Linked DNA regions of Arabidopsis thaliana. The protein of the gene in region 1 interacts with the protein of each later gene in a pairwise test. Each region holds a gene or a part of one and is shown in the gene's direction. Other genes may lie near its edges.

Region 1 (4,793 bases):
TATCTGCATTTATTACACAATCTCTCTTCCTTTAGCATTTATAACAATCACGATACCTTTAAACCGCCATATCTTTCTCTATCTCTCTATATATATCTACAACCGTCTCGGTTATAATCTAAGTCATCTCTTTGATCGATACTACTCGTATGGATATGTTGAGGAGTGCTTGTTTCTACTTCCTATTAATAGTGTTTGTCATCCTTTCTTGGTCTCTTTTATGCGATTCTCGCCATCTTGGACACATGGAGAAGAAGCTTAGTGTAAATCTTGATCTTTTAAATAAGGTAAGCCCTTCGCTTGTGATGTTAAGAGTCATGGTTAATATGGTGTTAGTTTTTTCATAACACGGGCAATTATTTTTTGATCATTGATATTAAGATGCGTATGGTATATAGTCTTTTAATTTGTTTATATATATGTGTGTGATTTTCACTTTTTAAATGTCTTTTACATAGATATGTAGAAGAATTGAATGCATATTTTTCCTTTTCAAAATCAAATATACCTCTAATTTAAATTTGTAGGGGGGCTCCAAATACTTTTAAATGATTCCGTATGTATGCATGTATATAAACACTAGATATAGTGCACAACTAAGAAGTTCGAGGGTAAACACTAGCTAGTTTCACTTATTTTCATAAAACAATTCCCATGTAAAATGGGTTTGTATTCAACATACTCCACTTTTAGTGTAATACTTATTAATAAATGACAAAAAAAAACTAAAAAACTAAAAAACTTAAGTCATGAATACTAACTCTTATTCCATGGCACAGGACAATGAAGAGATTACAAAACTAGAAGCTCCATCAACAAACAAGACGAACACCTTATTGAGCCAATCACATGCGGTAGTTAATCATGGTGATAATGGTCAGATCAACGGGAAGAAGACGAAGGAAATTCACAGAGTAAAACGAGCTTCAGACAAAAAGGTGTCGTCTAAAAGAGTCTCAAGAACTTGGAAAATCCCTAAGTATCCAAAGAAGCAGCCTAAATCAGATCAAGAACATCCGGGTTTCAATCTTGATTATATGCAGCCCACTACACACCCGCCTCATCATAATTGAACTCTTAATGATCATGTAATAACTCCATGCATAAACAAATTTCATATCGTGGTTTATCAAATATCATAACTCAAGTCACGAAGAATTTCCACTTTTTACTCGTTTGATATATCATGATGTATGGTCAGAAACGACCTAGTTATAATAAGCTTTTATATTTAAAATTAATACATATACGAATTAGATTATAGTGAAACTGTTATCGGTATTAATTGTTCAATACTACTCCGTTGGGTTTCTTGATGTTGCTACCATATCACACTTGCAAGTTGAATGCATATCATCATGATGTACAATATATACTTTACTCCTCTTTATATGCACATGCATGTGTATGATCATTTCGTTGCTAAATTACTATATCAATATGTATTTTTGTTGTTGTTCACAATTGTGTTATAGTATTAGCTAAGGTTAACAAATGTAATTTAAAAAGACTTGCAGGTTAATAGTAATACATGTGGTTTTCTGCTAATCATAAATCTTTTAAGTTAGTCTGTTAATTTTCGTTTCTAATGTTGACAAAACTGATACTAAATATGTATGTATATAATATACATAGTATCTTGAACTTGGTGGACCTTAAAAATAGTAATACAGTACTTGCAAATTTGCAATATTTTCATCCGATTAAAGAATAGTAATACTACCACTAGTCAAATGCATTATTTATAGTTTGTATATATAGATGAGTCCGCGTGCAAAGTCACTGTTAACGATGTCCAAAAAGGACGAAGATCCCGCGTATGGTTCCAATGCAATCAGATGTCCCAAATCCACGTATCTTAAATTTAAAATTGACTTGTACAAAACAATATACTACTAATAATTAATCAAAGACAAAATTGTCTATCTCATTTCTTATCAAAACGTTCTGTTATTTTATTTTCCATAATTTCTTCTTTCTCATATGTCATAACGTAATTTTGTTACATCGAGAGGATAAAATTCAAATTTTGCGGAAAAATATATAAGGCCCGTTTAGATATATTAGTACGTTGAAAAGAGCGAACTTATTAGTATAAGGCCCATTTAGATATAATAGTGGGTCATAAGCCCATAACATATCCTGCAACAGAGAACAAAGAAGCTGCGATCTGGCTAATAAAACTTTCCCGCCGGAAAAAGTTTCTGCAGTTTCCAACTTCTTAAACCTAAGCGAAGCAGATAGTCTTTGATTGGGAGATTGAGAGAGGTTAGTGAAGAATGGAGGGAAATCAAGCTGGATCTTCTCTAGATTCGTTGATTGCTTCTTTCAATAAACGAATCGGCGAATTGCAGGAACTCGTCATCGCCAGAAACAGTGAGTCCTAGTTCTAAACACTCAATACTCAATTCGTTATTCAATATCTTCATTTGATGACCTAATTTCAATTTCCTGCAGTGTATCCTGCAAGTACCATCCCGGATTTATCGGCGATTGACACAGCGTTGAGCTCAATGGAGCTTCAGGTACAATCGATCAAGGACCGATTACGTGAAGAAACCGAAGCTATTCCAAAAGCTAAGGTACGTTTTATTTACTTCCGAGATTTCTGAAATTCAGATTCTAGAAACGTCGTTACACTGTAAGATGATTTGAATTTGAGTAATTTAGGGTTTAGAATCTGGACCTGGGTTTTTGACTTTGAGAGTTTTGTGTGTTGACTGTAGAAACTTATAGAGGCATCACTGAAACAACAAGGGAAGTTGCAGAAGATGTCTATTTATGCACCTTCCCATTTTCCTGACAAGGCTACTATGTTGAATTCAGATTTAAATAGATGGTATTTACATTTACTTGCATCTTCTTTTTTCAATTTCTAGGTATAGCCTTTGATTTTTATTACTACTCCAGAAGTTTGATTAAGATTAGTGGTTTCTCATTCCAGTCTGCTCCAAGAGAATGCCAAGCAGTACGAGCAACATTCTACTCTCAGCTCTTTGAAATTTGATGAGGAAGCAGCTGTTTTACCCAAGGTAGAACTTGCATATACTTTGTTTTCTTCAAAGAGACTTTATGGCCTCTAAGACTCAATGGCGATGAATGATAAACTGTTGCTATTGTGTATTTCTGTTATCTCTGTCTATGGTTGATCTTTGGTTTTGTTTCCAGGAGAAGAAGGGTCGCGGGTCTCCTCCCCTTTGGTACATAACTGTTGAGGAACTCAATTCACTCTCATCGTAAGTACATTTTACTTTCTCTTCTCCTTGTTTATGTGAAATGCATACCGCTTTTCTGACATTTTTCCAAAAAACAAGATACATGAGAGGAAGGCTCACCCTTGAGAAAGTGAATGCTGCTATCAATGACATGGCCTCATATGCTGAAGCAAATGCTCATCTTATTGCAGCCTCAAAACAGAAGGTATATTTACCAGCTGAAGGAATTGAGTTATATAGGCTACAATTGTACTGACGCTTTTGTCTTATATTGCCAAAGCTAGCGGAAAATCTCTGGGAGAAAGCACTTGTAAGCTAATATAACTCATCAACCACACTGTCTAGATGATAGTATCCGTTCACTAGTGAAAACATTGTTATAATCTTTGATTGTCTTGAAACTCTTATATGCAGAAACTACGAGATATCGTAACAGAGCAAGCAGTGAAGGGCAAACATTTCTTTCTTGAAACTGACATGAAGGGACCAAGTTTGAAACTAGACAACACAGGAAAAGCAATACTTACTGTAAGTAACTAATATATCTTCCCTTCATTTCAAAATTTCAACAAAAAAGAAACAACATTTTCATGCTTCCTTAAACTCTTCACCAGAGTTAGACTAACATCGATAACACATGCTTATTGTCAAATTTTGATGTGTCTATTAACAGGTTCTTCGCCACCTTGGTCGTATTAGTGAGACTCGCATTGGACAAAACCGCGTCATCATTCTTATGAAGCCTCACTAGAAACCAACCAACTTGCCTCAAGTAAGTTGTTCATTTTCACAAGCGTAAGGGGTAATTCCGTCATTTTTCAATAGTTTCTTGCTTCTTCTGAGCTCCTTGTACCATAGAATCATAGAAGGTCTACTGGTCCCTTAAACATCATTAAGCCTTAATCTTAATCCTTAAGACCGGCCCGCCTGACAGGCCCAGCTAGGCCCAGGATTTGAATTTATAATATGGACAAAAATGTTTAATGCAATTTTCACATTTGCATAAAAGTAGAAAAACTCGATTTCCGTTATTTTCATAATATTAAAAAAGCAATTTCTCTAAGCAATCTGGTTCAAGTTCCAGTGCACAAATGGCCTGTCCCATTCAAACCTACAAAGTAGCAAAACTCGGTTTCCGTTTTTATTTAGTGACTTTTTACCTCCACATAGTTTTCTTAATACTCCAATACCTTTAAGGATCTTATCTGTGTCACTGTCTATTCGTAAAATCAATAGATAGTAAATTGTAGCTGCCATACATTTATCTTGATACGGACAAGTAAATTTGGCAACATTATTTTCCGAACAGAAGAAGAAAACAAATCTAATAACCAAGCGAAAACGACGATCCTTGCATTATTGTTGTTCATATGTCCTGAAATAAAAATCAAGAGGCACTACGAAATGGGAAGAAGAAAGTGGTCCAGGGAAACAGGAGAGAAAAAAAAAAGACTATTTGCCTCAGAAACATTCACAATTTCACGTTTATCCATAATGTCTGTTCCAATCTCTTTGTCTTCTTTTTTCGTATAACCAATAACCAATTTTAGTCGTCTTTCGTTCGTGCAAAACCCACAA
Region 2 (5,759 bases), on another chromosome or scaffold:
AGAAGAGGACAATCATCATCAAGATGTTGTGGAGAAACAAGAGGAGGAAAATAAAGAGGTTGTGAAGAAGCAAGAGGAGGAAAATCATGATGATGATGTGGTCGTCATCAATGTTAAGAAGGAAGGAGATGATGGTAAGAATCATGATGTTGATGAAGGGAGTATCAACAACTTTGATGAGAGAATGATTGGTCCTGGATCTCCAAGCTTTAGGGTTTATTGCGTCGATGTTCCTTCTGATGATGATGATGAAGGTAAATCATATGTTCTTATACAAACACACATATATACATGTATAAATCATTTACTATTTGTATTTGTATATGGATGCATGCATTGTTAGAGACATATATATGTTTATATATGAAATGCTTGTTATATTATGTAGTTTCGTTATTGAAACAATTTATCCATTCACTATTGCAGAAAAAGATGTAGAAGACGCGAGAAAGTCGATGGAAACCGAAAGCGTCACGACAGAGATAAAAGAGGTGGTCAATCACATTAATTCACATTATTGATTATTTGATCTATGAGGATCTCTAACAATGATATATTTGTATTTCTATAGGACGGAAGCATTGTCAAAAAGGAGAAAAAAGAAAGAAGAGGAAAGAGGTTCGGAATCGCATTGCCGAGGAAGTATTTAGCAAATGTGACTGCGCCGTGCTATGCAGGTGGAGGATGCATGGGAAACACTCATTCTCGTTTGGTGCAAGAGAAATCGAGCCAGTGATCGATCAAAATATGTTTGCCATCTTTGCATTGACTGATTTGTTGAAGTAAGAATGGTGTGGTGTACGTACGGGATCACGATGAATAATCAAAACCACCTTACGATTTTAGACCTTTGATTTGTTTTAAGAGACGCTTGTTTCAGAATTTGTACAACCTCTTCTTCTTCACCTTTGCTTTCTTTGATCAGGATAATTAAGTTAGTGTTTGACGAATTTACTTTTTTCCACGTGGAAAGATGTAATTAATTGAACTTGTGCAATAAAAAAAGTGTTGTCTAAATGTCAAATTTATTGTTACATTAACCAATGAAAATAAAATTAGAGTAACATATAGGAAACTGCAATTATAGAAGAAAAAACACACTAAAAGGTGTAAGTAATTGAACTTTGTGAATTCCGTTTGTTTTCGGAATGCACAAGTGTTAGTCATAATAGGAAAGATAAAAATCTTAATTACAAATCCTAAAATACAATTTTTAATTTATTTTTTAGAGTTTATATTAATATGTCGTCAAAAACGGTATATTATTCAGAACAAAATTATCGTTGACCATTAGTTAATTAATAACCAAGTTCAAATTTGATAATTTGAAAGTTTATTTAGACAAAATTAATTAGTTGAAAGTTTTATCAATGATGGCCTCTTAAATTTTTAACTTTTTTTTGTTGAGTTTTATAAAAAAGAAAAAATGGTTTTCAAACTAAATTTGTTTATGATCATGTTTATCCGAGTTAAGCCCAATTTGAGATCTTTGTCAGTAATGACTAAGAGTACCTCCCGCATATAGAATTCATGTAGTTTCTAAAACATATATATATTTTTTTAACTTTTAAATATATATATTTTTTTAATTGTATGAGTTTCTACTAAAAAATTACTATTGAAGTTGGTCTAAGTTGCGAGACCAAATTTTTATATGCTTTCGGTTCGAATTGACATTTCTCTGTGTAAACGAAGCATCAATAAGAATTTATCAAACTTGAATGTAACACCATTTCTTTAGTTGATCATTTCCAAACATTTATTAATCAAATAAAATTGAATTTCAAAGTCACGTGATAATGATGATACTCAAATTTAAAAAACCAATAACACTTTATTTCAACATTTCTATGAAGAAATCAATTATTAACACTTAAAGTTATTAATTGAATAACAACGAACAACATTTAATTTAGTCAAAATTAGATTTTTTTTTTCTTTTTTTTGGTTTTATTGTTAAGATTTTATACCAAATAAAATTTTACAAACGAATCTAAAAGAAAGAACAAATTTAAACTTACCTATCAGAATTGTTGTAAGATATTTGGGTTTTCTTCGTATTAGGTTTCATCAGATCCAGACTCAAAAAATGGAGTCACCGCACTCGAATTTGCTCCCTGAAGTCGATTCTTTACCCGATGGATTCGTCGACGGCGCAACAGAGCCGCCTCTCAATTCTCCCAAGACCCAGGAAGAAACAACAAACCATGAAACTGTTGCGATCGAGAAAACAGAGAAGCCAAGAACTTTTCCGGTTCCGTTGTGTGAAACTGATGGTAATGAAGATGACGAAGTAGCTGACCTAATTCAAGAATCAATCAAGCTTGAGTTAGAGTTCGAGCAGAAAGAAAAAGAAGCTTCTCCTCCTATTTCTCAAACATGTGAGTGAAAATGTGAAGCTTAATTTCTTTATAGGAATTTGCTTCTTTTGTAACCTAAAGTTTGTTTCTTTGCTTTTTGTTTGAGTTAGTGTCAGAAGGGTCAACTCAAAATTCAACCTTGTCTAAGGAAATGGATTCACTCAAACCCAAAAAACAAGTCAGTATTTTGATGAGTTCTTCAATCTTGTTGCTTTGAGAAGAATATATGTTGAAGATGATGTATCTGATTTGTGTGCTGATGATATTGAAAGCAGGAGGTGGTTGAGAGCAAGCGTAAGGGTTCAAAGAATATGTTCAAATCAGAGAAAGAGTTTTTGGAATTTATGCTCAAGTATCAGCAAGTCCTTTCTGAAAGAGATTCTGGTAATAGGATATCAATAAAACCAAACTAGTTTTGTGTTACCTTCATCGTTTAATGCTTTATAGTCTGTACTCATCATTATTGTTTTTAACCGTAGCTATTACTGTTCGTGACAAGCTTGAATCACTTTGTAGAGAGTTACAACGTCAGAACAAAATGTTAATGGTTTGTTCTTTCTTTCTTCTTGCTTACTCTACTTGGTGTGTCTTGTTTTGAGGAACTAACCTTTTGGTGTGTAAACTAAATGTTCCTTTGTATAACAGGAAGAATGCAAGAGGGTTTCAACTGAGGGACAGACTTTAAGATCGGATTTATCGACAAAGTTCCAGGATGCTATAATGGTAAGTTGAACACATTTTTCTTTCGATGTGAATTCTTCCCAGGGTTTTGATCTTTGCTGAATATAGAAATTTGAGCCATTTTGCCGTCGGTATTGGCAGTTTTAGAGAGGAACAAGTATTGGATAATAGCTTTGTTTTGTGTTTCTAAGTATGCAAATCTTAAATGCACATCATTTATTGATCCTTGTTATATTTTCTTAGGATATTATCTCCTTTAATCTTCCGTGCTATATGCTTTGGACAGTCATGGCAATATCTTTTTCTTCTTTCTGAAACTCTCTACACTGACATTGGCAAATGTTAGTACCGATCTACACTAAAATTTAGTCCTTGGAAATAATTGGAACTAAACAAAGTAGAAAATTGTCCATATTGGTTTCAAGTTACAGATTGATAGAACTAAGTTTGATGAATTGCTTGCAGGCTTTTGCAACATCAAAAACTTACAAAAACAAAATCAGAATTTATTTGATTGATTTTTTTCTTATGCTCTCTACCTTCCTAATCCTCTTTTGTTTATAGGATGTGAGCATTAAGTTGGACGAGCAAAAGAATGAAAGCCTCACGCAACTCAAAGAAAATGAGATGTAAGCGGAAAGAACTCAATCATAACATGTTCATTTGGAGTAGGAAAATTATAGTATGTTTATTATATATGTATAGTTTTGTTGCAGTTTAAGTTAATACAGTATGAATATGCTCGCCCACATTCTGGAAACTATATTCTTACATGTGTATTGCTTTTAAAACGGCTTTGCTTGTATCAGCTCAGTAACATATTATAAAGGTCCATTCTAATTACAATGGGTTTGTTTCTTAATCTCCAGGTTAAGGACGAAGTTGAAGCACCTGGCTGATCAATTTATGCTTTCAGAACAACAACATGAGCAAAGGGTAATTAAATTATTCGTTTTTTCCAACTATATATGAAGCATGATTTAGCCAAAATAATTGGCTTAACTGCGATGTCTACTTGACAACATCTCATTTTCGAATGGACAGTTGAAGCAGAAAACACTTGAGCTACAGATCTCTGCTTTAAAAATTAAACAGCACGAGGAGAAACTCATCCATGAACAATCTCAGATGAAAGTTTACGCAGATCAAGTTTCTCAGCTTTTGTCTACTGAGAAAAATTTGCGGTTGCAGCTGACTTCTGATGGAGATAAATTCCAGCAGTTCCAGGTCTGCTCTCTTCCCCTTTTACACTTCCTAAATAAGTCTTAATCGTTTTCTCGATGCACTGTGATCACAGATAATAAGATTGCTTGCTTTGGGTGTGATACAATACTCTCTTAAGATATGTTTTTTACTGATATTATATGAAAAGACTGTAAAGTGAAAGGCTGTTTGGTTATGCAGGACGCGTTGGTTAAGAGCAATGAGGTGTTTGAAACATTCAAACAAGAAATCGATAAGGTAATAACAGTTTTATACCTTCGAGGTTCTTTGAAAGATCATAAGTGCTATTTATGTGATCTTATTAACTTGATCCTGTCTCTATTGGTTTTTTGAGTAGATGTCAAAAGCAATCAAAGAACTCAGAAAAGAAAACGCATTCTTGAAAAACAAAACTGAGAAGTCGGATATCACTCTCATAGAACTCGTCGAAGAGGTAAAACAAAACCGTCTGTTCTCTCACTATCTTTAAGGGTTTGTAGATTTTGGTTATGAAACCAGTAAAATCACACTTTTGGTTGACCTTGAACAGCGTGAAAGATTGAAGAAACTGTTGGAGAAGACAAAGAAACAGAAAGACAAGCTTGAATCACTTTGCAGATCCCTTCAAGCTGAAAGAAAACAGAAAGAAACTAACAGTACTGATTCTGCTGTTCAACCATGAAACAGAGAGAGACTATGAATTCAGTGTTTTGCTCTCTTTTTTTCTTTGTCAGAGTTTTGAACTAATTAGCACTTCAGATTACAAAACTACAATTAGACTCCAAATTCACTTTAAAATGTAGAAACATATCACATCATATTGATTCTGCTCTTTTGCGAGCTAAGTCCATTTTATCTCACAAAATGCAAATTGATAATAGTTAATTCAGCTGCAGCTTCTGCAAATCTCCAGGTTCACAAGAGAATGATTCTGCATTCACTAAGTTCACAACCGATTTGGAGAAGAATAGCTACTTCAACATCTGCCATAATGACCAGCTGATTCTTTGCAATCTTAAACCAAACCGAACCGAACCATTTGAACCGAAGAAAAGTTAAACCGATATGGATTATGATTCGGTTTGCATCTTTATGGATTCGGTTAGTTAAAAAAAGCGAATCTCTCTGAATTAAAATAAGTATAACGTCAAATTAAATTTGGTCACATCCACTTTCCTTTACAAACTTCAACAACATCAAATGGAATAATATAATATTGGAAAAGAAAAAGTATATAACGAAATGTCAACCATCGATCATGACCAGCAGATATTAATCGGACGGCTCCTGTACAATTCGATGAAGAAGACCTACTCTCTCATTTATTCAGCTAATTGAAATCATTTCGTTGTGTTTTAGAACAACAACAAAAAAACAGTGCCCTTTCGCTCACGCTTTGAGTCGTATCTGCTCTCTTCTTAATCCGCCGTCTCTCACTTTTTCGCCGGCGTGGTTAGATCGTACAAAGCTCAGGTAATCAAATCTATCTCCGATGTTGATCTACTCTGTTTCTCC

What was found.
Region 2: the proteins of AT3G60660 (region 1) and AT5G50840 interact in a two-hybrid assay, tested with the Arabidopsis thaliana proteins (one large-scale study listed by BioGRID).

The regions. Positions count from the first base shown.
Region 1 is NC_003074.8:22,419,202-22,423,994, forward strand, and holds AT3G60660 (spindle/kinetochore-associated-like protein), read left to right. Parts: upstream 1-2,142; 5' UTR 2,143-2,279; coding exon 2,280-2,376; intron 2,377-2,457; coding exon 2,458-2,582; intron 2,583-2,726; coding exon 2,727-2,839; intron 2,840-2,944; coding exon 2,945-3,032; intron 3,033-3,168; coding exon 3,169-3,236; intron 3,237-3,314; coding exon 3,315-3,420; intron 3,421-3,495; coding exon 3,496-3,525; intron 3,526-3,629; coding exon 3,630-3,743; intron 3,744-3,888; coding exon 3,889-3,966; 3' UTR 3,967-4,276; downstream 4,277-4,793. Other genes in the region: AT3G60650 (uncharacterized protein), read left to right, coding at 150-287, 780-1,073.
Region 2 is NC_003076.8:20,683,814-20,689,572, forward strand, and holds AT5G50840 (alpha-taxilin-like protein), read left to right. Parts: upstream 1-2,004; 5' UTR 2,005-2,089; coding exon 2,090-2,381; intron 2,382-2,470; coding exon 2,471-2,538; intron 2,539-2,632; coding exon 2,633-2,744; intron 2,745-2,839; coding exon 2,840-2,907; intron 2,908-3,005; coding exon 3,006-3,083; intron 3,084-3,605; coding exon 3,606-3,670; intron 3,671-3,910; coding exon 3,911-3,977; intron 3,978-4,085; coding exon 4,086-4,268; intron 4,269-4,445; coding exon 4,446-4,502; intron 4,503-4,602; coding exon 4,603-4,698; intron 4,699-4,794; coding exon 4,795-4,926; 3' UTR 4,927-5,109; downstream 5,110-5,759. Other genes in the region: AT5G50830 (nuclear polyadenylated RNA-binding protein), read left to right, coding at 1-254, 427-494, 572-736.